Linked DNA regions of Cricetulus griseus. The protein of the gene in region 2 interacts with the protein of the main gene of each other region in a pairwise test. Links are inferred from orthologs where the notes say so. Each region holds a gene or a part of one and is shown on either strand. Other genes may lie near its edges. The genes, in order: Eid1, Ndn, Ssx2ip, Zbtb1, Lax1, Apbb1ip and Ccdc136.

Region 1 (3,566 bases), on a different chromosome or scaffold from region 2:
TGACTCCTTAAAGCATACAGGCTTGAAGGATAAATTTGTAAAGTGAAAAATAGTGTCTTCACACATTTTCAAAGGATTCCTACAAATCAGCAAAACAAACATAAAGTAAGGCCTGTTAATGTGTTGAAAGAAAGCAAATGCCCCCTATACCTACTGAAAGATCATTGTCCTCTAATAAATTAAAGTTATGGAAAGGTTATAAAGATACAATCTTAGGGCTGGAGAGCTGGCTCAGCAGTAAACAGCATCAGCTGCTCACACTAAGGAGAGAGTTTGGGTCCTAGCACTTACAGGGCAGTGCAAAACTGTGACCTCATTTCCAGGAGATGAACATCCTCTTCTGGCCTCTGCAGGTGATGCACACACAAGGTGCATGGGCGTTACACAGAGGCAAAACACCCATACACATAAAAGAGAACAAGCTGATAAAACTGAAATTAATTTTATTAATTCAATAAAACAACAGGAGCCAAGGGTGTGAATATTCTCAAACACTGCAGGTTAAGTTTGTAGAGCAATTGTGAGCCTGATTACCCATGTTTATTTAAAATATGCATATCCTATGAGCCTAGAAAAGAACACTGTGGCTTCCATTTTCTCCATGGTGTACGTACACACACACACACACACACACACACACACACACACACACACACAATTTGTCCACGATTAGGTCAACGTCAGTATATTCAGGAAGAAAAAAAAATGGAAAGCTGAATTTTCGTGCCGCGCAAGCCGGCAGGCGAGGTGGATTTGAAATGATGAGCAGTAGTGGACGTCCTGGTCCCAAGGGATGCTGGGGAGGCAGGAGGTGGATGACTGACAAGGGATGCTGGGAAGGCAGGAGGTGGATGACTGACAAGGGATGCTGGGGAGGCAGGAGGTGGATGACTGATGGGATGCTGAGGAGGCAGGAGGTGGATGACTGATGGGATGCTGGGGAGGCAGGAGGTGGATGACTGCCAAGGGATGTTGGGGAGGCAGGGAGGTGGGGGAGAGGCGGCAGTCTGTCCCAGAAGCCCGGTGTTTTCCGGTGCAGGGACGTGACAAGTGTGACAGAGCAAGCAAACATCAAGGAACCTAGAGCGGGGTCTGCAGATGGAAGGTCCAGACCCAGCAGAAGCTTCTGGGAGTCCGGCCCAGCTGGAGGAGGGGGAGGTGGTGGTGGAAGGGGGGGGGCTAGAGCGGTCTAGAGCTCACGCACGCGCACCACGCCCACCTCGCGCCAGGCTGGCACGCGCACCCAGCCCGCCTACTCGCCTGCGCGCGTGTCCCGTGCCCCCCGCAAGTGCACCACGCATGCCCACTCGTCTGCGCACGCACGCACGCAGGCACGCACTCCCGCACGCGCGCCACGCCGACCCACTCGTCCGCGCGCGCACGCGCCCGCGCACCACACCCGTTCGCGCGTCCGTGTCGGTGGAAGCGTTTCGCCTGGCTGACTTAAGAGGCTTCCACCATGGCGGAGATGGCTGAGCTTTGCGAGCTGTACGAAGAAAGCAACGAGCTGATGGACGAGCTGCCCGGCGAGGGCGATATGGAGGTAGGCCGCGGGGCCCGCGGGCCCGCGGAGGAGGGCCCCATGGAGGAGGAGGCCGCGCCGTTAGCCGCCCGCGCCCAGCGCGGCCTGTTCCCCGAGGCTGGCGCAGATCTGGAGGGCGACGAGTTTGATGACTGGGAGGACGACTACGACTTCCCAGAAGAGGAGCGCTGGAGCGGCGCGATGCACAGGGTGTCTGCCGCGCTGGAGGAAGCCAACAAGGTGTTCCTGAGAACGGCGCGAGCCGGAGATGCCCTGGATGGCGGGTTTCAGGCGCGCTGCGAGAAGAGCCCTTTCGACCAGCTCGCCTTTATCGAAGAGCTGTTTTCGCTGATGGTTGTCAATCGACTGACCGAAGAGCTCGGTTGTGATGAGATCATTGATCGAGAGTAAATGCTGACGAAAGAGGAGGAAACTACCTGAGAGGGAGAGATTCAACATTCTGCTGTTTTTGGGTTCATTCCAACTAGTTTTGTGCAAAAAACAAAAAAAAAAAAAAAAAAAAAAAAAAGGTTTTTGTTTCCCGGAATAGAAGACAAAACAGTGAGTGACCGTGCAGTCTTGGAAAAGGAGAATCGAGGAAGGAGGGGCTCAGCAAAAAAAAAAAAAAAGCTCTGGTTCAGACTGTTGAACGAGATGATTTTTCCCTGCGTTGGAGAAGAACTTGGTCGTGTTAAGCTTGTAAAAATGGTTTTGCAAGAGAAAAATCGTGACTGCCAATACAAGAATCTAATTAGAGAATGAAGAAGAATACATCCACAAGATATCTTTGATTCGAACTGAGAGCCTGTTGAGAAAACTTTCCAAATTCTGTTTTGTGGTTTATATAAATCAGTTATCAAAAGCTAAATTTGAGATTTAAGATTGAGTATTCATCGACCCCCCCAAAGAAAAATCAAAGTGAATATGTGTGTATAAGTGTAGATGTGTGTTACCATGTGTACTATTATCTTAAAATGTGTTACAAAAGCTGGGATTTGACTGCACATGTATCTTCATGATTTATAAAGCTACTGTGATCTGTAATTTGGAAAAATCCCTTGTGATGATTTTTAAAGTTACATATTAAAAAAAAGCCAATCAGGATATCTTTTTAAAGTTTTAAGTTCATGCATTAAAATTTATGGGAAAGCCCAAAGACAAACTTTCTAATAAATACCCTTTTATACTAGGGAACTTTTACTCACTGTTTTTTACCTTGACAGATGGTAAGACTATAGCTGAACTTCATATTGTAAGAACTGTTTGTGAAAAATTGTCAAGTAAAAGGAAACCCTACCTGTACCTATAAAAGATTATATGAGCTATTATGCTGTCAAACTTTGGAGGTTTTAAATCTGCTCAGAAGTCCACCTGGATACCTGATACTCATATTCTCTCTCTCTCTCTCTCTCTCTCTCCTCTCTCTCTCTCTCTCTCTCTCTCTCTCTCTCCCTCTCCTCCTCTCTCCCCGTCCCTCCTTCTGATCATGCTTGTTAGTCCCTATGCACCAGCATTGGCGATAATAAATTTTCCTGTTCTGTGTATTTTGTTTTGTCTAATAGCTCTGCATAGATACTTTATTTAAGCAAGATTCTTTTATTATGTGGTATCACTGCATTCATCTTAAGATTTAAACAGCCAGTGCTTACAATGGTAAAATGAAACCATTTTCAATTAATTACCTGACCAATAGAATGAAAGAATTGGCCAGCCTACGGAAACCTGCCCTGCATATATGTTGCTGTGTGTTATTTGGTGAAGATGCTGAAGTTCCTTGAGTGGTAATTGCATCAAAGGCCATGCCAAGAAAAATTACTCATTAGCACATCTTTTATGATGAATTAAAAAGTCTGACTGTTCCTATGCCATGATGGGAATATAGGACAGTAGGATAACTCCTCGGGATTTTTTTGGCTGGGGGTGGGGTGGTGGTGGTGGTGGTTTATTTGTTTTATATTCATCTTGTTTGGGAGGCTGGGCAGGTGGGATGGCTCGGTGGGTAAAGGCAACTTCTGACATACACCCAAGCCTCATGACCAGAGTT
Region 2 (2,796 bases):
ATACATGTTTGGTAGGGTGTGCTAAGTGCCTACACTGAGAACATTCCAGTTCAAATCAGTCCATTCCACAGGGATGCTTCCTGTGCCAGTTGAGTTCATATAAGAGGGCCCTTGACCTTTCTCTGGTCAGGCCTGCTTTGCTCACCTCCTAACTCTCCTGGGCTTTTATGTTGATACAGATCATCACTTTCATACAAAGAATAGATACACAACATCTCAATGGATTTCACAGGTTCAGCACAGCACATCTCTTGTACAAAAAAGCACAGAAGTGAAAGCATCCACTTGCTTACTTGTAAACGCACATGCATAAATCCTTAACACGCTCCAAGCGAACACAAATGAATATATTGCATTGAAAGGTACAAAAGCACTGTAAGGAAAACTTAAAGGTTACACATGAAATACTGCACTGTGAATGTGGAATACTCTAATGACCCAACCCCACCCTTATACAGCCCAAGTATGGGTCAGAAATTATCAACATGCTGGGGACCTTCCTAATCACCAGAGACACTGCTGCGGGGGCAGTGGGCAGCAAGATTAGCCTCCCGCAGAGCTCTGGCCTGCTCCAGAGCCTCTCGGTAGCGGGAGGGCCAAGCCTGGGGATCTTTCTTAAAGACCCTGGCCAGGAACTCCATAATCTGCATCTTGGTGATTTCACGGTTGGCTCTGGACCCCCAGAAGAACTCGTACTCAGGAGGATCGCTGTGGGGAACAAGCTGGTACTTCAGGTAATTCTGCTGGACGAACTCCTCGGTGATAATCTTCCTCACGTCTCCGAAGGTGGAGTGCTTCTTCCAGGGCCTCAGTCCCAGGATGTGCAGCACATTCCAGACGGCTCCCTCTCTGGCCCCGCGGCCCTTCACGTAGATGAGGCTCAGGATCATGAGCAGGAGGCCTGTCATGGGCATACGGTTGTTCAGCGCCACTCTGTCCAGTTCTGCTGGGCTGAGGGCTTTGACCAGGGCGAACTCCATCGTGTGGATATTGGTCAGCCTCAGGTGCAGCCCAAAAACTCTGGCAAGGATGAGGCTGGTGCGCCGGAGGATGCTTCTGCACCATTTCTTGTAGCTGCCCATGACATCTTTCACCATGTCTGGGAACCAGAGGACCATCCTCTTCTGGTCCTTGACCAACACGTACCACATGAGCTCGTGCGCCTTCTGCACCACCTGGGCCGGGGCGGGTGGTGTTGGCAGCTGACGGACCGGGCTATCGGGATTGTGGGCGCGGCCCTCCTCTATGGCCTGCTCCAGAATCTTAGGGTCAATATCTTCTAACCTTTCTGGAGGCGGCGGCGAGGCCTGCCGGGCTGCCATAGGGCCTTCAGGAGCTTCTGGTGCCTCTGCGACGATCGCGGCTGGAGATGTGGGAGGAGGGACCCCCACCGGAATCTCAGAGCTCTCCTGCACCTCGGAGTTGGCGGCATCAGGTGCAAAGTTAGGGTCGCTCAAGTCCTTACTTTGTTCCGACATGTCTGCGCCTTCTGATCAGAGCAGGACCGCTGCGACTTGGAGCTCTTGGAACCAGCACTCCCTCAGTGGACACCAGCAGAGGAAGTGCGCTTTACTGAGAGCTGTGCCTTCCGCAGCAGCGGCCGGGCGGGGCGGACTTGACACTGCGCATGCGTGTTGGCAAGCCAGAAGGGTGGTAGGGCTGGATAGGAGCTGAGATGCAAAGCCCAACCACTGGGGTCTGAGGGAGGGTACCACTAAACTAATGGGAAAGATCTCCAGGTCTCCTGGGTGAGCTAGAAAGAGATGGTGATGGGGAAGGAGCAAGTTTAAGTAGAAAGATGCAGCTGAGATGGTGAAGTCAAGTTAGAGCACCTTTGAGTTTTTGTGTGAAAGGGGGTAGACTGGCTAGAGAGCTTGGACTTTCTACAAAAGAGTGAGACAGTAATGAGTTTTTGATTTTTTTTTTTTTTTTTGGAAGTGCGAGCATTGTGAAGATAATGTGATGTTTAAGATTGGAATGTTGAAAAATTAATAGAGCAAATCTTTACCAAACCTGAGTCCAGATCCAATACGGAAGAATATAAAGTGTCATTACAGACACTGGAAATCAGCCCAAGTGGAATTTGAATGTTTTGGAAGTAATAAAATTATATAGCATAATTGGTGTGTGTTTAAACATTTTTTTATTGGGATGGGAATTGGCTCAGTCCATGGGTAAGAGCATTTGTAGTGCAAGTGTGAGAACCCTAGTTCAAATCCCTAAGACTCACAAAAAATGTAATGGCATAGTCTGTGTTTGTAAACCCTGCTCTGAGAGGTACAATTAGGAGAATTACAGGCATTTGCCAGAAACCAGCCCAAGTTTAGGTTCAGTGAGAGATCCTGTCTCAAAGGAATAGGGTAGAGAACAATAGAGCAGGATACACAACACCCTTCTCATAAATTTGCATACACTTACACAATATACACATATAATTGACACAAATAAGAGTTTGTCTTTATACACAAGCACAATATGCAGTAAGCAAACTTGCATAATTAACACATATATCACTTTAACCTTTAGGGATATTTAAAATTCCTTTTTCTATCTCCTTAAACATGTATAGCTGAGTACACCCACTGCACTTTGTTATAGTACACTACAGAATATTGTTCCTAACTATGTTCTTGTTTCAGAAGGCAATCTTTATCCTCCATGTTCCTTTCACAGCCTTTGGTAATCAATTTTCTACTCTCTACTTATTTGATGTCATGTCTCCCTCATTTCCACAAATGTTGGAGATCAGGAAGCTTTGTCTATATATAGCCCTTTTCACTTCACACAATTCCATCA
Region 3 (3,500 bases), on a different chromosome or scaffold from region 2:
TTGTGCAGTGTGAAGGATAGTATTCCTAGTCTCTTCACACTCAGTGGCATTTGTTGTTCCCTAAAGGCAAGCATCCCCAGAGTATGAAGCCTGCTGTAGATGAGTGTGCTCCTAGCGTGTGAAAGCCTTACAGAGAATTCTGGGAGCTTCAGGGATAGCAGCACAGAGGAAGAGCCTTTTAAGACCATGTTGTAGTTCTTGTATATAAGTAGAATAAAAATGAATTTAAATAAGGCATGTGATTTTATATATTGAACTTGGTAGTAATTGCTTTAAGTAAGCTTGAGTGTGGCTCAGAAGTTGGACTGTAGTTCCCAGGTTAATGTGTGGTTCTTGTCACTCCTGAGGACAAGTGGCATATTTTATGTTCCAGGAACAACTGGAAACCTCAAGACGAGAGATGATTGGGCTTCAGGAGAGAGACAGGCAGTTACAGTGCAAAAACAGGAATTTGCATCAGCTTCTGAAGAATGAAAAAGATGAGGTGGGTTTTCTGTTACCTTGCATGAGGTGAACTATTGGTTTTTAGAATTTGAGGTGTGACATAATGGCCACTTCACCTTTTAAAAAGAACTGTCTATTCTGCGTCACACTAGCATGGTGGGTGGCCACGCTGTGCCCGTCCTCTGCCCTGCTCCAGGAGGACATGAGCCCATGGCTGGCGGCAGGCAGGGCCCCTGTGCTGCCCTTCGGTCCTCTCTCATTTCTCTCAGGCACAGGAGAACTGAGAGCACGCGTCGTTGTCTCCTCGGTACTGTACAGAGGCAGCGCTCCACACCTCCCCCCTTGCATCAACCCCTCTCCAGCAAGGCCTCCCTCTACAGGGAAGGCCTCTCAGTGGCTCTCGCCTAACCAGGGCCATGCACATGCTAGGCAAGTGCCCTGCACTGAACTGTCCCCTTTCTCCTCTCGTGTGTGATCTTAAACATTACCCTTTTTTATCTAGCAAAGAATTAACCTGATTAAATGGCCACAGTGTGGAACACTTAGTGCCTAGGATGCACAAAGCTGTGGTGATTCATATTAAAAATTTCACTTCTAACTCAAAATACTCCAACTCTAATATGTGCTTGGTAGGTACCTAGACCTTATTTTTAGCTGAATCCTGACAGCACTGTGATGACATGACACTGACCCCTATCCATATAGTAGCTAAAAAAATATTATTTTCAGTGTTTTGTTCTTTAACTCAGAGGCTTGGAAGGGAATTTATTTCTATTTTCTTTTTTTTTTAATGTGTGTATGTCTGTTTTACCTCCATGTCTGTGTACTGTGTATGTGGCTGGTGCCTTTGGAGGCCAGAAGATTGGGTCCCCATGGAACTGGAGTTACAGGTGTTTGTGAGCCACTTTATGGGTACACAAGCCAGGTCCTTTGCAAGAGCAGCAAGTTTCTTAACCACTGAACCATCTCTCCAACCCCGATAATCTATTTCTTAAAAGCCTATGATTTCTTTTTATGCCATTTAATTAGTATTTAATAGTGAATAATGAAGCAGGGCATTGGTGATGTCACACGCCTTTAGTCCCAGCCCTCGGGAGGCAGAGGCAGGCAGATCTCTGAGTTCAAGGCCAGCCTGTTCTTCAGATCGAGTTCCAGGACAACCTCCAAAGCAATACAGAGAAACCCTGTCTCAAAAAAACAAAACAAAACAAAACAAAAAAAGTGAATAATGACTATCTAACCAAGGTTACTACATAGAAAATTGTGATATGATGTGTTGATTACATTTAGTTTGAAGTTTGTCTTTGGTCTGGAGTAAGCTAAAACACCACTCTATGGCTAGGATTGAGATGGCTCTAAAGAACAAAGTACACTTCCTGTCAGGAGCTGCCCTAGCTGAGCCTGGTAGCACAGGTCTGTAACCCAGCCGCAAGGGAGGTGGGCAGGAATTGAGAATCAAGTCCAGCTTGGACAGCCTCCAGGTAAAAAGCAGTCTGGGGGTGTGGCTCAGCAGTAGGCGCTAGCCTAGCATGTGCTGGCCGGCCAACTCAGAAGAATAGCACCTGACCTAGCTTCCCAGCGGTGGCTGCTCAGAGAGAAGACAGCTTGCTGGCAGCTGCGTGCCGCTGTGTATTGTTGTCGTTCACTGGTAAGAAGTGAAACTCATTATGAGGGAATATGAGCTAGGACCAGTTAGGACTGGTTTTACCTTTTGAATTTATGATTTTAGTGGATGCATCACCACTTGTTTGATAGAAAGTGTTTTGTCTTTCAGGTACAAAAATTACAAAACATTATAGCCAGTCGGGCTACTCAGTATAATCATGATATGAAGAGAAAAGAGCGTGAATACAATAAACTAAAGGAGCGGCTGCACCAGCTTGTTATGAACAAGAAGGATAAAAAAATAGGTATGACGCTTACCAAGAGTGAGCCTCGTGCCTGCAGGGATGTGCCCATAAGCGCGAAGGGGTGACGTACTTTCATACATTGCAAGGTTGCCTTTAGAATTTAGGTATTTCCCTATAAACTGGAAACTGAGACAACCGGTTTGTGGAGAGAAAAAAAATAAAAGCCTGGGTCATTTAGTTTGTCTTATTACTTTTGCTATAAGACAAAGTGACCGAGACAACTTCTAGGAGAGTTTATTGGGCTTCCAATTTCAGATAGTAGTCAATGACTATTATGGCAAGGAACATGGTGCTAGAGCGTCGCTGAGAGATCACATCCTGAGACAAACGATGAGGCAGAAAGAGCCAAAGCCCAGCTCTAGTGACATACCTCTCCAGCAAGGCCACACCTCCTAACCTTTGCCAAACAGTTTCATCGCCTGGGAACCAAGTACTCAAACGTATGAGCCCCGGGGGCCATTCTCATTCACACCAGTGCACGTGTATTTGCCTAACATGATGGGTTTGGAGTTGAAAAGTAAGCCAGAGGACACTGACTCCCATAAAGAACTGGAACCCGAAAGCATCACAGTGGTTTCTGAATGTCAAAGAAGGGTGATTTTAGAGTTGGCTTTGTAAATGGCAGCAGCAGCAGCCTGGGGTGGGTAGCTGTTTCTTTTCCCAGCCCAATCAGAAGAGATAGATTTCATTTACTAGTTCAAAATCAGAATAACTTTTTTGTTATGAAAGTGAGTCTGTCTGTATCTGGGGCAGATGGACATTAGTGCTGTCAAATTTTCATTCCTGTGAGGTTGACAACACTGATGGGGTTAGCAAGTCAGGCAGGGCCTTCTCTGTAATGCCCGAACAATGAGGAAGTTCAGCATGCTTCCTCTGCCATTGCAGGGAAGTCCCCTAACAGCATGTAGATAGGCAGCTGTGGCTAAGTTCTGGGAAAGCTGTGTGTGCTGGATGCTGTGTTCCCTCTGTGAGTACATCCCTGTATCCTTAAGTGATGTCATGTACAGATACTGTGTTCCCTCTGTGAGTACATTCCCTGTATCCTTAAGTAATACCATATACAGATACTGTGTTCCCTCTGTGAGTACATCCCTGTATCCTTAAGTAATGTCATGTACAGATACAGTGTTCCCTCTGTGAGTACAT
Region 4 (3,500 bases), on a different chromosome or scaffold from region 2:
TTCAAAAGGCTTTTTTTAATGCTCTACACTCAAGTTATTTACTTTTAGTTTAAGTTGCTGCTTTATTTACTTTGGTATCTTAATGTCTGTCCCTTTTCAAATTTAGTATGAGTTTTCCCTCTAGGATAAAGACAGTTTTGTGTATATGTTCATTTGTGTACAGAGGCATACATATTCGTATGTGTGTAGAGGCCTTGTTCCTCAGTGCTATTTACCTCGTCTTTGAGACAGGGTTTCTCATTGGCTTGGAACTTCACAGGTAAGGTAGCAGGCTGGCCCACCAGCAAGTCTCATGGGTGCAGAGGGGTACCCCATGCCCAGCTTTTTAAAGACATGGTTTCTGGGGGTACTCATGCTTCCTTTTTTGTTTGTTTGTTTGTATACAAGGTCTCACTATGTAGCCTTGGCTGGCATAGAATTCCAGGCTGGTCTGGAATTCATAAAGATCTGCCTGCCTCTGCCTTGTTTTTAACTTTAAAAATATTAAGGTTTTTGGTTTTGGTGCCTTTTGTTTAATATGAGAAAACCAAATAAATGGCTAGATATTTTCATCTTCAGATTTAAAAAATGATTTAAGCATATTTCTGATTTTGCTTCATTGGCATAGAAAACTATGATTGAATAGCAAAATTATGCAAGTCAAAAATCATGCTAAAAGTGTCCTTCTTTAAAAGTGCCTCTGATATCTGACTGTCATATTTTTGTTTTGCATAGGTCTAATTAATAGAAGATGGCAAAGCCCAGTCACAGCAGCTACGTCCTTCAGCAGCTAAACAACCAAAGAGAATGGGGTTTTCTCTGTGACTGCTGTATTGCTATTGACGACATTTACTTCCAAGCACACAAAGCAGTCTTAGCTGCCTGTAGCTCCTATTTTAGAATGTTTTTCATGAACCATCAGCATAGTACTGCACAACTGAATCTCAGCAACATGAAAATAAGCGCTGAGTGTTTTGATCTCATTTTGCAGTTCATGTATTTAGGGAAGATTATGACTGCTCCTTCCAGTTTCGAGCAGTTCAAAGTGGCAATGAACTACCTACAGCTCTACAATGTTCCCGACTGCTTAGAAGATATACAGGACGCGGACTGTTCTAGTTCAAAATGTTCTTCTTCTGCTTCCAGCAAACAGAACAGCAAGATGATTTTTGGGGTAAGAATGTATGAAGACACAGTGGCTAGAAACGGCAACGAAGCCAACCGGTGGTGTGCAGAGCCCAGTTCAACGGTGAATACCCCGCACAATAGAGAGCCTGATGAAGAGTCTTTACAGTTAGCTACTTTTCCTGAGCCGCTGTTCGATGTGTGTAAAAAAAGTTCTGTGTCCAAACTATCTACTCCAAAAGAACGTGTGTCACGTCGCTTTGGACGGAGCTTTACCTGTGATAGTTGTGGATTTGGCTTCAGCTGTGAAAAATTACTAGATGAACATGTGCTGACCTGCACTAACAGACATTCCTACCAAAACACAGCAAGAGCTTACCACCGGATAGTAGATATTAGAGATGGAAAAGATAGCAACATCAAAGCTGAGCTCGGTGAAAAGGATTCTTCCAAAACATTTTCTGCACAGACAGACAAATACAGAGAAGACGCCAGCCAGGCGCCTGATGGTTCAGCTTCGACCACTGCAAGCAGAAAAAGCACGGTAGAGTCTGGAATGGCTGGTGAAGAAAAAAGTAGAGCTGCTGAGACAAAAAGAATTATTATCAAGATGGAACCAGAAGATATTCCTACAGATGAGATGAAAGACTTCAACATTATTAAAGTTACTGATAAAGACTGCAACGAGTCCACTGACAATGATGAATTAGAAGATGAACCTGAAGAGCCATTTTATAGATACTATGTTGAGGAAGATGTCGGCATTAAAAAGAGTGGTAGGAAAACCCTAAAGCCTCGGATGTCTGTAAGTGTGGATGAAAGAAGTGGTTTGGAAAGCATGAGACCTCCTAACAATAGCAGTCCAATCCAGGAGGACACCGACAATGCATCTTGTGAGCTGTGTGGACTCACAATAACTGAGGAGGACCTGTCATCTCATTACTTAGCCAAACACATCGAAAATATCTGCGCATGTGGTAAATGTGGACAAATACTTGTCAAGGGCAGACAGCTTCAGGAACATGCTCAGAGATGTGGAGAACCTCAGGATCTGACGATGAACGGGCTAGGAAATGCTGAAGAGAAAATGGACATGGAAGAGAACCCTGATGAGCAGTCTGAGATAAGAGACATGTTTGTTGAAATGCTGGATGATTTCAGGGACAGTCATTACCAAATAAACAGTATACAGAAAAAGCAGTTATTTAAACATTCTGCCTGTCCTTTTCGGTGTCCCAATTGTGGTCAGCGTTTTGAAACTGAAAATTTAGTGGTTGAACATATGTCTAGCTGCCTAGACCAGGATATGTTTAAGAGTGCCATCATGGAAGAAAATGAAAGAGATCACAGACGAAAACATTTTTGTAACCTGTGTGGAAAAGGATTTTATCAGCGGTGTCATTTGAGAGAACACTATACTGTTCATACTAAGGAAAAGCAGTTTGTTTGTCAGACATGTGGAAAGCAGTTTTTAAGAGAGCGGCAGTTGCGTCTGCACAATGATATGCACAAAGGCATGGCCAGGTATGTCTGTTCCATTTGTGATCAAGGCAACTTCCGAAAACATGACCATGTACGGCATATGATCTCTCATTTATCTGCTGGTGAGACTATATGCCAGGTCTGCTTTCAGATATTCCCAAATAATGAACAGTTGGAGCAGCATATGGATGTTCATCTGTATACTTGTGGAATATGTGGAGCAAAGTTTAATTTGAGGAAAGATATGAGATCACACTATAATGCCAAGCATTTGAAAAGAACCTGAGGGGCTTTCTACTGCACGAATGTTTAGTTGATAGGCAGAACACCAAAGCAAAAGGATATGAGCTATTTAGACACTGATTTCATAAGAAGTGTTGGGGAAAGATTTCAAGGCCCTTTTACTTTAACATTTTTGTTTAGGACCTTAAGTATATTTTAGGCATTAAATGTTTATCATTTTTGATGTTTCCAAGAGCATTCTTTGTTCATAGTTTTCTTAACTACCATTAAAATTACTTTTCAATGTAGACTGTAAGTGGCTGTTATCCCTTCAATGACTATTAAACTAGTTTTTTTTTAATCAATAAGGTAATGATTTCACTATTTCTATGTACTTTCATTTTAAGGTTATCCTATGAAATTTTAAACCCAAGATTACTGACCATTCCTGCTTAAATTTTTTAAGAGTTTTTAAATAATTATTTAAAACTGTCATTCATTTTTTGCTTCTTTTTTGCTTTTGCTTTTTTGGGGTTTTTTTTGGCTTTTTGGCTTGTTTGTCAGTTGTATAGTGGATGGCTACTGTTCATTCTCCCTTATCAATGAAATCCATATTCTTAAATTGACAAACTTAGGCAAGTGAGGTGCACTGAATCTAACCTTCAAGGTGGACATGGGCTCAATCTTGGCCT
Region 5 (4,184 bases), on a different chromosome or scaffold from region 2:
CAACTTAGCCATCTACAATGTGTACATATTTCAAAACAACATGCTTAAATACAGTATAAAAATACAAATTTTACTTTGTAGTTACAAAGTTAAAAAGAAAAAGGAAATAACAACAAAACAAAAATCGATTTAAAAAAGCAATAGTTTTAAGAGTTAGTGAGCTGACTCAGTGGGTAAAGGTATCCACTGTCAAACCTGCCACTCTGAGTTTGATCCCTGAGGCCCACATGGTGAAAGACCCAATCCCTGCACCCTGACCTCTCCACCCTTCTACTCCCCCACAACAAAAATTTAAAAAAAAAAAAAGAAAAAAAAAGGAAATAGCTTTGGGAGGTTGCTTCAGGCTTCAACAATGATACGAACTCATGTCTTTTTAGCAGGCATCTTTTACCTGCAAGGGACATGCAGGATTTTCTCTGGTAATACTAATAAATTTTCCTAAAACTACAATAATTGAAAAGGTTTCACGCCCACTAGCATTTCTGAAGTCTCACCACCCAATAGACTTTTGTTTATCTGAGATTGAGAACTTCAGGGGTGAATTTACATCCATGATTAGTCTGTAAGATCTGATGTCTTATGACTTTTTTTTTTTCAAGACAAGGTTTTTCTGTAGCTTTGGAACTTGTCCTGGAATTTGCTCTGTAGACCAGGCTGGCCTCGAACTCACACCTACCTCTGCCTCTCAAGTGCTTGCATTAAAGAAGTGTGCCACCACTGCCCAGCAGCTTTATGACTGCTATCTCTACATTTACAACTCATGACAAGGTTTTAGGATCTAAAATCTCATTGCTGGGGAACTAGGGCTCTTGTTTTTATCATAGTGGGACAAGAGATTAGAAAGATTGAAGTCAAGGCCTCTGAGAGGAAGGAAATCCAATCAGAAATTCAGCTGTCAGTCCTCCACCTCCATCTCCTTCCTTCCCTCCCAGCTCACAGTTTGCTGGTCCTGGTGGCCCAGGCCTGGATTGTAGGTGTGGCAGCACTACCAGGGACAGTGGCATTTACTTCCCCAGAGCACTCACCCTTCCAGGCTGCCAAGAGTCCCCTGCGAAGTGCTGGGCCCTGAGTTCCTCCTTCTTGTGACATCTGGTGGGGCTGGTGTGGTGTACATCCCTGGAACCTCTCAGGGGCTCTGCAGCATTTAAGTCTTCTCCGTGTCAATATTGACTAGCCAGTATTGTTGCCCTTTTCTTGACTCTTTCTAAGTTGCTGATTCGTAGGAAAAAAAGGCAAATTGGTATGTATTTTGCATACAACCACCTTTGTTTAAAAAAAAGGGAAAAAAGCAGATAATATAAGAATGACAGAAAATTCTCCAAATCTCCATATTTTCCCAAATGTATCTCTCTTTACTCTTGAAATTTCTTTTTCTTTCAATTTTTTTAAGTCTTTATTTTATATGCATTGGCACTTTGACTATGGGTGACAGATCACCTGGAACTGGAATTACAGTCAGTTGTGAGGTGCCATGTGAGTGCTGGGAATTGAACCTGGATCCTCTGGAAAAGCAGTCAATGATCTTAACCACTGAGCCATCTCTCCAACTGCTACTCTTGAAATTTCTTATTCATTTACTTAGATGGGGATGCATGTATCTCAAACTAACCTGGGGCTTGCTATATAGCTGTTCATGCAGGGTTTCATACCTCTCAGGGTAGCCTAGAACTCTTTATGTAGCCAAGATATATAGCTGAAGACGACTTTGAATTTCTGATCCTGCTGCCTCTGCTTCCTTAGTACTGGGACTTACAGGCATATGCTACACTCTGTATGAGCACTAGGGTTGGGACTCTGGGACTGTGCACACCGTAGGCAAGCAGTCTACTGTCAGAACACCCCCTGCCAGCCATCCTTCCTAGATTGTACTCACCAAAGGTCTCATATACAAAAAAAGGTTTTGGTTTTTTTTTTAATCTTTCTGAAGATTCTAATCTTCTGTTCTAGAACTTTCTCCAACTGACTCCCTTTTTTGGGCTGGTGTGATGGCTCTTCAGGTAGAGGTGGTGCTTACTGCCAGCCTGATGACCCAAATTTGCCCCCATCACCACTTTCATGGTGGAAGGAGAGAATCAGTTCCCATAAATTGTTCTCTGATCTCTCTCTCTCTCTCTCTCTCTCTCTCTCTCTCCCTCTCTCTCAAACACACACACACACACACACACACACACACACACACACACACACACACTATAAATAAATGTACTACTATACTAACAACAACAATAATAATAAAACCCAAACCTCCCTACCTTCACCTGAAATTCCAGGCTGAGTTGGTACAAGGTTCCAAAGCATCGAGTTTGGTACACTGGGGGTGACCACAATGCCCACTGGAGAAAGCCAGCTGTCTCTCATCCAGGTGTTGATGTTCCCAGTGTGAAGTGGCTGGGCTGGCTCTCTGGTTTCTGCCTGTTGGTGGAAACGTGAGGTACACAGGGGAAAAAAAATGCCCAGAGGTCCAGCAGATCTGTGAGAAACTCTTTCTTCCACCCCCCCAGAGCAGAGTGAAAATGCAAACTGCTCTGGCAGAATGGAAAGAGTCACTGACAGGAAGCACCTTCACCAGTGTGCTAATGAGGCACGGGGCACAGGAAATGCTCAGTTCTCCACAGGCAGCAGGAAACCCATCTTCAGCCCTGCTGTTCCCCACGGGCACTCTGGCATCTGGGGCACACGTGGTTAAAGAGGGTTAGGGAATCAGAGACAGGATTGATCGCTCTGGTTTTCAAAGTGTTATAAGCCTCCAGGTCAAAATTCGGGGGTTTAAAATACTTTGTTGTTTAGTTTTACTTATTTATTCTTAGTACACTTATTTAGTGTGTCTGCACACATACCATGGCACATGTGTGGAGGTCAGAGGACACTTGGGGGAGTCCTTCTCGCCTACCACGTGGGGCTCAGGAAATCAAACTCAGGTCTTCAGAGTTACAGGCAAGTGCCTGGATCAAATGAACCATCTTGCTGACTGTTTTTGTTTGGTTTTGAAGCAGATCTCACTTCATAGCCCAAGCTGGCTAAACCCATGGTACCCTCTTGTCTTAATGTCCCTGGTGGTGGGGTTCCAGGTGTAGGCTAGGCTCAGGGTTCAGAATGGTTCTTTTCTTTTTCTTCTCCTTTTTTTTTTTTTTTTTGATACAGGATTTTTCTGTGTAGTCTTGGCTGTCCTGGAACTCAGTAGACCAGATTGGCCTTGAACTCAGAGATTCATCGGACTCTATCTCCTGAGTGCTGGAATTAAAGGTGTGTGCTACTACTACCTGGCTTTTGTTGTTGTTGTTGTCCCTTCCTTTCCTTTCCCTTCCCTTCCGTTCCCTTTCCTTCCCTTCCCCTTCTTCCCCTCGTCTTCCCTTCCTCCATCCTTTCCTCCCATCCATCCATCCTTTCTTCTCTTCTATCTTTCTTTTTCTTTGAGACCATTCCCTGACCATTCTGTATTTCACTTATGTAGACCAGGTTGGCCTCAAACTCACAGAGATCCTCTAGCCTCTGCCTCCTAAGTGCTGGGATTAAAAAAGTGTACCACCATGCCTGGTTCTTAGCAGGTCTAAATAGCACTAGAAGTAGTTGTTTAGAGAGAAGTGCGGATCTGGCACCTGCTTGTGGTTCCGTGGGTGGACAGGCCTTATAAATAGATTCTCAGTAGGTGATAGTACCAGAAGCAGTGTTTCACACTTTGTGTACCTCTGTTCCGGTGTCATGGTGGGAATGGAACTGAGCCTGGGTTGCAGGACCTCTGGAGGCTGTTTCTTTGTTGGGACTCGGGGCTGCTGGCAAGGGGGCATCTGTTGCTGGCTTGCCTCTTCTGTAGTTCAATATCAATCCTGGGTAGCCTCTGATTTCAGGTGCCAGTGGTTCCTCCGTAGCGCTGACCTGAAGGTTCCAATCTTAGGAGAATGCTCTGAGTTTGTTTCTAACTCCCCTTCCTTTTTGCTCCACGTATGTTCAGAAGAGTGAATAGAGCATGCAGAGAGCCTCTCAACTGCACTTTCCAAACCAGTTGGGGCGGCAGGAAGATGAAAGGGATGACCATCAGTGCCTTTGTCACCAGGCCTCTCCCTGACCTCTTTCCAGTGGACATTGGAGTCCTTGGCTTCCAGAGCCCAGACAAGCTCTGCCTGTTCTGGCTCTCCCAGGGCTCTAGGATGCTGCAGACTAGTCCTGTAGTCTTCATGAAACCCCAC
Region 6 (3,500 bases), about 76 Mb from region 2:
AGGATTTACATGGTAAGCATGTTTTCTTAAGCAATTTGAAACCCTAATGATGACCGAAGTCTCCATGGAACTATACTCTGACCATGAAACTAAGGAAATGTGAGCATTGTGGTAAATAATGTGTAAGCCCCAGACTGTGGGCAGTATTTTACTATGTCTACACTGAATTAAGAAAGTCCATTAGATATTTTTGTCTATAACAATGAAAGGGAAGACCATCTTCCATTTATGAAAAGTCTCAGGACAACCTCACCTTTTGAAAAGGAAAGCAAAGTTTCTTCTTATTACTAAGGAGCCCATTATCTTTTAATTTTTTTATTACAAAAATTCTTAGCTAGGCATTGGTGGCACACACCTTTAATCTCAACACCTGGGAGGCAGAGGCAGCCAGATCTCTGTGAGTTCGAGGTCAGCCTGGGCTACAGAGCAAGTGCCAGGACACCTCCAAAAGTACACAGAGAAACCCTGTCTCAAAAAGCATACATATATATCAAAGTCATTCAGAGAACGACAGACTTAAGAATGGAATCCACTTCTCATTCTCTATTTTATCTAATGTTGTATTGATTAATATAATTTATCTGTAGTAACATATCTAAGCTATATAAAGAAATTTTAATTCTTTGGCATATTGATATATTAATGAACAACAGAGCTACATGGCACTGATGATGTCTGGCAATGAGCCAGCTCACAGTGCTTTCTGATTTTTTTTACTAAATAGGTTTGTTTTCTGACACTCCCATTTCCTCATTTTGGGCCATCCTGCACAGGGTCCACTCCTTCTTCACTGAACCATCATGCAGTGACTGCCTGATTCCCAGTGCACTCTGCTGATGCTGTCCCCGACACCACTCCCTCTGTTCCATGCAATCTAGTCAACTTGCTGAGCATGCATGTGGCCTCTACAGTAGTCTCACATTTGGACAAAGTCCTAATGAACTCTCTTCCTTCCCCATGTCCCTGTAAGCCTTGTTCATTTTTTCTTATAAAAGCTCACCCAGCCCACTGTTTTCATAAAAACCTTTACTACTTAATCTTACTGGTTTTACTCTTTAACACCTTGGCTGCATTAATCTTGCACTTACGATGGTAAGGTTCCCTGAAGTCAGACGGATGGGACAGACATTTAGATGTTCTCCCTAAAGTCAGATGAAACCCAGCTGATCACCAGTGCTCTCCCTTAAAAATTCTTAGGGAGAACCCCCTTCCATCCATTTCCACTTTCTTCCTCCTCTACTGTTCCAAAGACTGAGGCCTTTGCACCAAAATACTCAGGAGTTCCCTGTGTAGGCATCTGCTCGTGTGCTCCAACCTGACTTTGTGCCTAGAGTGTGAGACACACCCCTGGAGAGCACAAGTTTTCCCTCTTCTTCCCGTTAGAAACTTACTGACATTAAGCACTGAATGTAATTATTTCAGGAGTCCCAATATGTGGGGGTGTGCTACTGGATAAGAATATTCTCCATCTTTCTTATTGTATCATAACAAGTTAAATAATGATTCCCACTTATGCATATGTTGCTCTTAAAAGAAAAACAACTGCTTTCTGTGTTATCCAGATGCAAATAGTTAAGCTTTCTTTTCTTTTCTTTTCTTCCTCTTAGAGTCCTTAAATGCCCTGGAAGACCAAGATTTAGACACCCTCATGGCAGATTTGGTAGCAGATATAAGTGAAGCTGAGCAGAGAACCATCCAGGCTCAGAAAGAGTCCTCTCAGAATCAGCACCACTCAGCGCTTCAGGAGGCATCAGATGGCTGGGTTGCAGCGTCACTTGGTTATGGAGCAAGTGCTGCTGCAGCTGGTGTTGGCCACTATGAAGATGCTTTACCACCTCCACCAGCAGAACCCATGTTAGACCTTCCACCACCTCCACCACCTCCACCACCTCCTGAACCTCTCTCTAAAGTAAGCATTGTAACGAGTCTTTCCCTGCACTCAAAAACATTTCAAGAACCATTGGTGTTAGAAAAGATGATTCTACTTTCAAAGTGTTCTGTAACCAGAACACTTCATTTCCTAATCATAATAAATAAATACATGAATGAATAAATAAATAAGCCCTAACAGTTCTATTCTCAGGATTGTAAGTTATCAAAGGAAGTTGAGCTTATAAGACTATTTCACACTCTTTGCTATTATTGTTCATGTGTGTTATCAGTGGGGTGTTTTGTTCGTTTGTTTGTTTTGCTTTGCTTTGGAGGATTTGTGATTTACAAATCACAAATTTACAAATCACAAAGTTAAGTTTTGACTTTTGTATTAAGAAATTGGATGTTAAGGACTTTTTCAAGTTTCTAATAAAAACTATGAATGTTCCCCTAAATAGACACCATGATCCAAGAGGATGTGTATGACTTTATGAAGTGCTCAACTCCCTTAGGCTGAATACATTACTGGATTCTGTAGGTTGGTCCCTGTATCAGTTCCTTTTCTGTTGCTGTGATAAACCAAAACAACTTAAGAGTGGAAGCGTTTACCTTAATGTAAGGAACAGTTCGTCCTATCAGGGGAGAGAGAGCAGCAGGCCGCCAGAGCAGGAAGCTAACTGATCATATTTCTATTCGCAGGGTAGAAGCAAAGAGCAAACTAGAAGTGGGGTGAGGCGGTAAACTCTCAAAGCCCAGCCACACAGATATATTTCCTCCAGCAAGGTTCCACATCCTAATAGTTCCATTTCTCCACACAGCACCACCATCTAGGGACCCAGAGTTCAAGTACATGAGTTTATGGGGATATTGATCATTCAAACTAACCCAGTCCCCTGTTTTGTGAGCTGATCACAGAATAGCATACTCTAATAAGTGTATGATGCACTTGTTGAGGTCATCATTTCATCTTCTAGGATGAAATTCCCAGGGCTATAAACAATAGTTTCTTTCTGTACCTTTTAGTTAAATATTTAATCACAAGAATTTGTTTATATTCTGGAAACGGGGGATGTAAAATTTGATGATTTTGTTACTATAAATTAACTAGACACTAACACTAACAAGAATTTCCCACTGATATTATTTATTAGACCTTACTGACTGTCTTCTTCTTTACAGGAAGAAGAAGAAGCCCAAGCAAAGGCTAATAAAATTAAATTAGCACTGGAAAAACTGAAGGAAGCCAAGGTCAAGAAGGTAAACCATCAATCACTTTTGCATAGGGGGCATTAAATTAATGATATCATGTTATAGTTACTGATAAACAGTAAAATAAAATCCTCACCTGTCTCTGGGGAGCTCAGTAGCAGGTCCCTGCTTACCATACTCAAGACCCTGGTTTTAACAGTATCATTGAAAGGAAACTAAAAGTGGCACTTTCCAATAATTATCATCTTTAAAGAATTCTCTGGACGCAGTGAAATGGCATAATTTTTCTCTGTATAATATCATTTAGCTAGTTTATGATTTCTGGGTAGGGAACCTGCATCCAACCGTTTCTTGTAAAGGCTTTCTATTGGGTAGTATGATGGCAAAGAGCTCCCCTTGGTGAGATGGAGCAAGAATGA
Region 7 (4,223 bases), on a different chromosome or scaffold from region 2:
AATCTTAACAGCAAAGTCAGAAGAGCACAGCAGAGTATCTAACAAGGAAGGGCTAGGGTGTCCAGAGACTCTCAAGGTAGGGCTGAAATGACTGATAAGTAGGGATAGGTAGGCAAAGAAGTACTTCGTTCCTGTGGAACATGGCATCCTGAGAAGGTGAACACAGCCAATCCATGTCCAAACTTTAAGAATGAGACTACAAGAGAAAGAACTAGTGTGTGTACCCAGCTTAGAAATCGCCCTCACAGAGCCCATTCCACATAGAGGGATACTCCCTGAGCCCAGACACACGGGGGCGGGCCTAGTCCCTATCCCAAAGGACACAATAGACTCTGATGACCCCCCCCATGGAAGGCCTCACCCTCCAGGGGGAGCAGAAAGGATATGTGATAGGTAGGGTTTTAGTTGGGGGGGGGGCTTGTAGTGGAGGAGGGCAAGGAGAGGGAACTGGGGTTGACATGTAAAACCATCTTGTTTCTAATTCAAAAAAAAAAAAAAAAAAGGAATCGACCCACAATTTTGACTTGGGGAGCCAGTTCCTGTGTACCCACTTCTGACCTGAATGAGACCTGCTGAGAAGTCAGATCTGTCTCAAGATCAAGATCGTCTCTTGAGTGGATAGTTGAAAAAGTGAAATAAGCCCTGTGGTTTCCCACACCTTCTGTTAGAGGGGACATCAGCGGTGCCCACAGGACATGGGGGCGTGACTCAAAGGACATGGAGAGGACAGGTCTTGGTGCACCGAGGGCAGCAGGGTTGGGCTACGGAGGGCTCCTTCTAAGTCAGTCCTTGGCTCTGGCTTGGTGGGAATTCGGAAAAGGCAATGATGCCTGCCTTGCAGTTGGCACATCCAAGTCTCAAGTTCCCTACTCTGCAGCCCTGCAGCAGCTCTGTGGCACGTGAGGCCGCCAGGAGGAGATGGATGGGCTCGGTGAACTGCGGCCATGGAGACCAAGAAGTGCGCGCGTGTCTGCGCATTTGCAGGAAACAGTCCATTCTTGGTTTTTTGTTTGTTTGTTTGTTTGTTTGTGCCTCAATCACCAGGTAGGACCAGGCCCAGAGACCCAGAGCAGAGAGGTCCTTAGGAGCGACTGACCTAGGGTGGGTTCTGTCGCCAGAAGCCACCCATCTTGTCACTCCTTGGGAGCATCCTTAGGACCCGGTAGCTCACGTCCGCCGTGCAGGAGGCGCAGCAGACCCGGAGCTGCCTCCGGTGAGGCTTGGGCACTTTGTTAACGCGCAAGGAGCCTCCAGGGCTGGTCCCTATGCGGTCCGGAGCCGCGGGGACAGAGAGGGTTTCCGGGCGGCGGCAGGCTGGCACCCGCGTCAGGTGGCCAGGCCAGGCCCCGCCCCCTCGCCCCGCCCTCTCTCCTCCCTGCGCACCGCACCGGGCTCCCGGTCCCCGGCCCCGCGGCTGCGGCTTCTGCTCGGAGGCTGCGGCGGCGGCGGTGGCGGCGGCGGCGGCAGGAGCGGCCATGGAGGCAGGCGGCGCGGGCCGGCGCGGGAGCGCGGGCTGGAGCTGCCCCGGCCCAGGTCAGAGCCGCCCCTCCCTCAGCTCCCCATGCTCCTTCCCCCTCTGCTCTCCTTCCTCCTGACCCCCGGGTGCCCGGGGTACTGAGTCGACTTCCTCCACCCCGGCCTCCATCTTTCGACCTGGGGGTGTCCCCTCCCTAGCGGTCACTCCTCGAGTGCTCCCCACCTCGTCTCTCCAGCCCGACCGTGCTTCCAGCTCGCCAGGGGCGGTGGAAGCAGCGGGGGGGGGGGTCTCGAGCCTGCACCCTTCCAGTTCATAAAAGCTCTTGACCAGGGGGTGAGGGTGGGCTGGGCGAGGTTTGGTGAGGGAGGGGAGGGGAGAGGAGAGGCCTGGGTTGGAGCCCCTTCCCTCCAGGTCCGGCCGCCCCTCCCTTCCCTGCCTTGAGCCACCCGCATCCTCCAAAAACCTTCTTTCTTAGTTCCCATCCTACCCCTCTTCTCCTTGTGCCCCAAGCTACACACTCACCCTCTTTCTGTCTGGGCGGGGAGAGGAGCCGGCGACATCCTGGATCAGGGGTGCTGAGGCTGGGCAGCGCCGCGCTGGGGTCCTCTCCTTAGGCAGAGCATGGGAGGTGGCGAAGGGAGTAGAATCACACAGCTGGACAGCGTGAGTCAGGCTCCTCCAGTGGGATTACAAATTTCGGGGCTCCCAGACAAGAATCCGCGTCCCTTTCTTTCCCCTCAGCCCCCAGCCTCTTTCCAATCCTACAGTGCCTACTTTCTCCTGCTCACAGGACCCACAGTAACCACTTTAGGCTCTTATGAGTTATCTGAGGGTTGTGAGAGGAAGAAAGGCCAACGCTGGGGGTCCCTGGAACGCCGTGGGATGCAAGCTATGGAGGGTGAGTTTTCTGTCGAAAAAAAAAAAAAAAAAAAAAGCTTTTCCATCTTCCATCACCCTACTCCCCAGTTCCCTTCCATCCTACTTCCTTCCCTGACCCCAGAGCTCTGAGGAGCCAGGATACGGCCCTTCCCTCACTTCATCTCAGGCCCCTCCTCCCTGGTGGCAGAGCTCCAAGCCTGTCCTGGGCTCAGGCATTGATGGAAGTTTGGGCACATCCCTTTGGGCTCCAGTCACCCAGCTAACCAGGTTGTGTGTCCTGGGGGAGCTGCCAGACAGACAGAGGTCCTGCTGAAAGGAGCCTGGAAGCAGCCTTTCAGCGGGGCGCTTGTTCTCACTGCCTGCTGACCTGGATCCCAAGCTGTCTCTTATTTTTAAAAGCCAGGACATGGGCGGGCGTGTGAACTGTCTTTCTGATGCCTCCACTGTCAACTTTGAATGGAGCCTTGCAGCTTTAGTAAGAGAGGCTTAGGAGAGATCGAAGTCAACTTCCCACCACCACACCACAGGACAGGGCAGGGAGGATCAACCAGGACTTCTTGTGAAGTGACCCCAGGCCCTTTTACAGTTCAGTACAGGCCTCCCCTAGAGACTCGATAGCATAAGGGGTCTCAGATGAACCATATGCTATTGGTATTAGAAAAAGAAAACCAGAGATTCAGAATTTAAAAACAAAGCAGTCTCCACCAAGACAAGATTGCTATTTACGGGAACTGCATTGCAGTAAAAGAAGTGCTCACCAATCCAAAAATGGGACCAGTACCAATTCAAGATTTTTGGTTTTTTTTGTTTTGTTTTGTTTTTGGTATTTGTTTTCTAAGACAGGGTTTCTATGTATAACAGCCCTGGCTGTCCTGGGACTGGCTCTGTAGACCAGGCTGGGCTTGAACTCACAGAGACCTGCCTGCTTCTGCCTTCCAAGTGTTAGGATCACACCTGGCTCAATTCAGTGTTTGGTTTTTTTTTTAATAATTTTACTTTTACTTTATGTGCATTGGTGTTTTGCCTGCATGCATGTCTGTGTGAGGGTATCAGGTCCCCTAGAACTGGAGTTACAGACAGTTGTGAGCCGCCTGTGGGTGCTGGGAATTGAACCCAAGTCCTCTGAAAGAGCAGTCAGTGCTCTTAACTGCTGAGCCATCTCTCCAGCCCCTCCAATTCAGTTTTTAAGATATGTCAACAGTACTGGAGGGATGGCTTAGCAGTTATCTTGTGTTTGATTCCCAGCACCCACATGGGAGCTCACAACCATCCTATAACTCCTATAACTGACCCCCAAGGCTACTGCATGCACACTATAGACAGACATACAAGCAGGGAAAACACCCAGATGCATAAAATAAATAAATATTTTTTAAAAAAATGTGTTTGGATGGCAGGCTTTCTTTTATGCATGAGTTCAGTTTCAGACTTACCCTGAAAACCAACTTGGGTCAGCAGGAAAGAGGTGGCACCCAACAGGAATAAAAGTTAGTGTAGAAATTTTCAAAGTCGGGGCTGGAGAGATGGCTCAGAGGTTAAGAGCGTGGACTGCTCTTCCAGAGGTCCTGAGTTCAATTCCCAGCAACCACATGGTGGCTCACAACCATCCGTTATGAGATCTGGTGCCCTCTTCTGGTGTGCAGATATACATGGAAGCTGAAATGTTGTATACATAATAAATAAAATCTTTAAAAAAAAAAAAAGAAATTTTCAAAGTTATTTGATAGCTTGCTTTTGAAAGGGTTCCCACATTTACCCAGTAAACAGCTCAGAGCCATTCCCTTCCAATGTTTTCCTTCTCCACTACAGGCCAAGCCAGTACTTTCCTATTATTAAAAGGCCACCTGGATGTGGGTTTTTTGCTTGT

Evidence for each region.
Region 1: the proteins of Ndn (region 2) and Eid1 interact in binary tests that used the Homo sapiens proteins (3 or more experiments, as listed by UniProt). The link is inferred for Cricetulus griseus from reciprocal best matches to the Homo sapiens genes NDN and EID1.
Region 3: the proteins of Ndn (region 2) and Ssx2ip interact in a two-hybrid assay, tested with the Homo sapiens proteins (2 studies listed by BioGRID). The link is inferred for Cricetulus griseus from reciprocal best matches to the Homo sapiens genes NDN and SSX2IP.
Region 4: the proteins of Ndn (region 2) and Zbtb1 interact in a two-hybrid assay, tested with the Homo sapiens proteins (2 studies listed by BioGRID and IntAct). The link is inferred for Cricetulus griseus from reciprocal best matches to the Homo sapiens genes NDN and ZBTB1.
Region 5: the proteins of Ndn (region 2) and Lax1 interact in a two-hybrid assay, tested with the Homo sapiens proteins (2 studies listed by BioGRID and IntAct). The link is inferred for Cricetulus griseus from reciprocal best matches to the Homo sapiens genes NDN and LAX1.
Region 6: the proteins of Ndn (region 2) and Apbb1ip interact in a two-hybrid assay, tested with the Homo sapiens proteins (2 studies listed by BioGRID and IntAct). The link is inferred for Cricetulus griseus from reciprocal best matches to the Homo sapiens genes NDN and APBB1IP.
Region 7: the proteins of Ndn (region 2) and Ccdc136 interact in a two-hybrid assay, tested with the Homo sapiens proteins (2 studies listed by BioGRID). The link is inferred for Cricetulus griseus from reciprocal best matches to the Homo sapiens genes NDN and CCDC136.

What each region holds. Positions count from the first base shown.
Region 1 is NC_048599.1:52,888,037-52,891,602, reverse strand, and holds Eid1 (EP300-interacting inhibitor of differentiation 1), read left to right. Parts: upstream 1-1,240; 5' UTR 1,241-1,459; coding exon 1,460-1,933; 3' UTR 1,934-3,066; downstream 3,067-3,566. UniProt on the Homo sapiens protein: Interacts with RB1 and EP300 and acts as a repressor of MYOD1 transactivation. Inhibits EP300 and CBP histone acetyltransferase activity.
Region 2 is NC_048596.1:135,134,389-135,137,184, forward strand, and holds Ndn (necdin), read right to left. Parts: upstream 1,479-2,796; coding exon 501-1,478; downstream 1-500. UniProt on the Homo sapiens protein: Growth suppressor that facilitates the entry of the cell into cell cycle arrest.
Region 3 is NW_023276806.1:12,743,947-12,747,446, reverse strand, and holds part of Ssx2ip (afadin- and alpha-actinin-binding protein), read left to right. Parts: intron 1-373; coding exon 374-484; intron 485-2,218; coding exon 2,219-2,354; intron 2,355-3,500. UniProt on the Homo sapiens protein: Belongs to an adhesion system, which plays a role in the organization of homotypic, interneuronal and heterotypic cell-cell adherens junctions (AJs).
Region 4 is NC_048598.1:127,104,443-127,107,942, reverse strand, and holds part of Zbtb1 (zinc finger and BTB domain-containing protein 1), read left to right. Parts: intron 1-714; 5' UTR 715-730; coding exon 731-2,872; 3' UTR 2,873-3,500.
Region 5 is NC_048598.1:55,501,480-55,505,663, reverse strand, and holds the start of Lax1 (lymphocyte transmembrane adapter 1), read right to left. Parts: upstream 2,801-4,184; 5' UTR 2,253-2,800; intron 1,264-2,252; 5' UTR 1,115-1,263; coding exon 1,026-1,114; intron 1-1,025. UniProt on the Homo sapiens protein: Negatively regulates TCR (T-cell antigen receptor)-mediated signaling in T-cells and BCR (B-cell antigen receptor)-mediated signaling in B-cells.
Region 6 is NC_048596.1:211,346,542-211,350,041, reverse strand, and holds part of Apbb1ip (amyloid beta A4 precursor protein-binding family B member 1-interacting protein), read left to right. Parts: coding exon 1-12; intron 13-1,607; coding exon 1,608-1,909; intron 1,910-3,051; coding exon 3,052-3,129; intron 3,130-3,500. UniProt on the Homo sapiens protein: Appears to function in the signal transduction from Ras activation to actin cytoskeletal remodeling. Suppresses insulin-induced promoter activities through AP1 and SRE. Mediates Rap1-induced adhesion.
Region 7 is NW_023276806.1:198,421,405-198,425,627, reverse strand, and holds the start of Ccdc136 (coiled-coil domain-containing protein 136), read left to right. Parts: upstream 1-1,423; 5' UTR 1,424-1,475; coding exon 1,476-1,533; intron 1,534-2,267; coding exon 2,268-2,375; intron 2,376-4,223. UniProt on the Homo sapiens protein: May play a role in acrosome formation in spermatogenesis and in fertilization.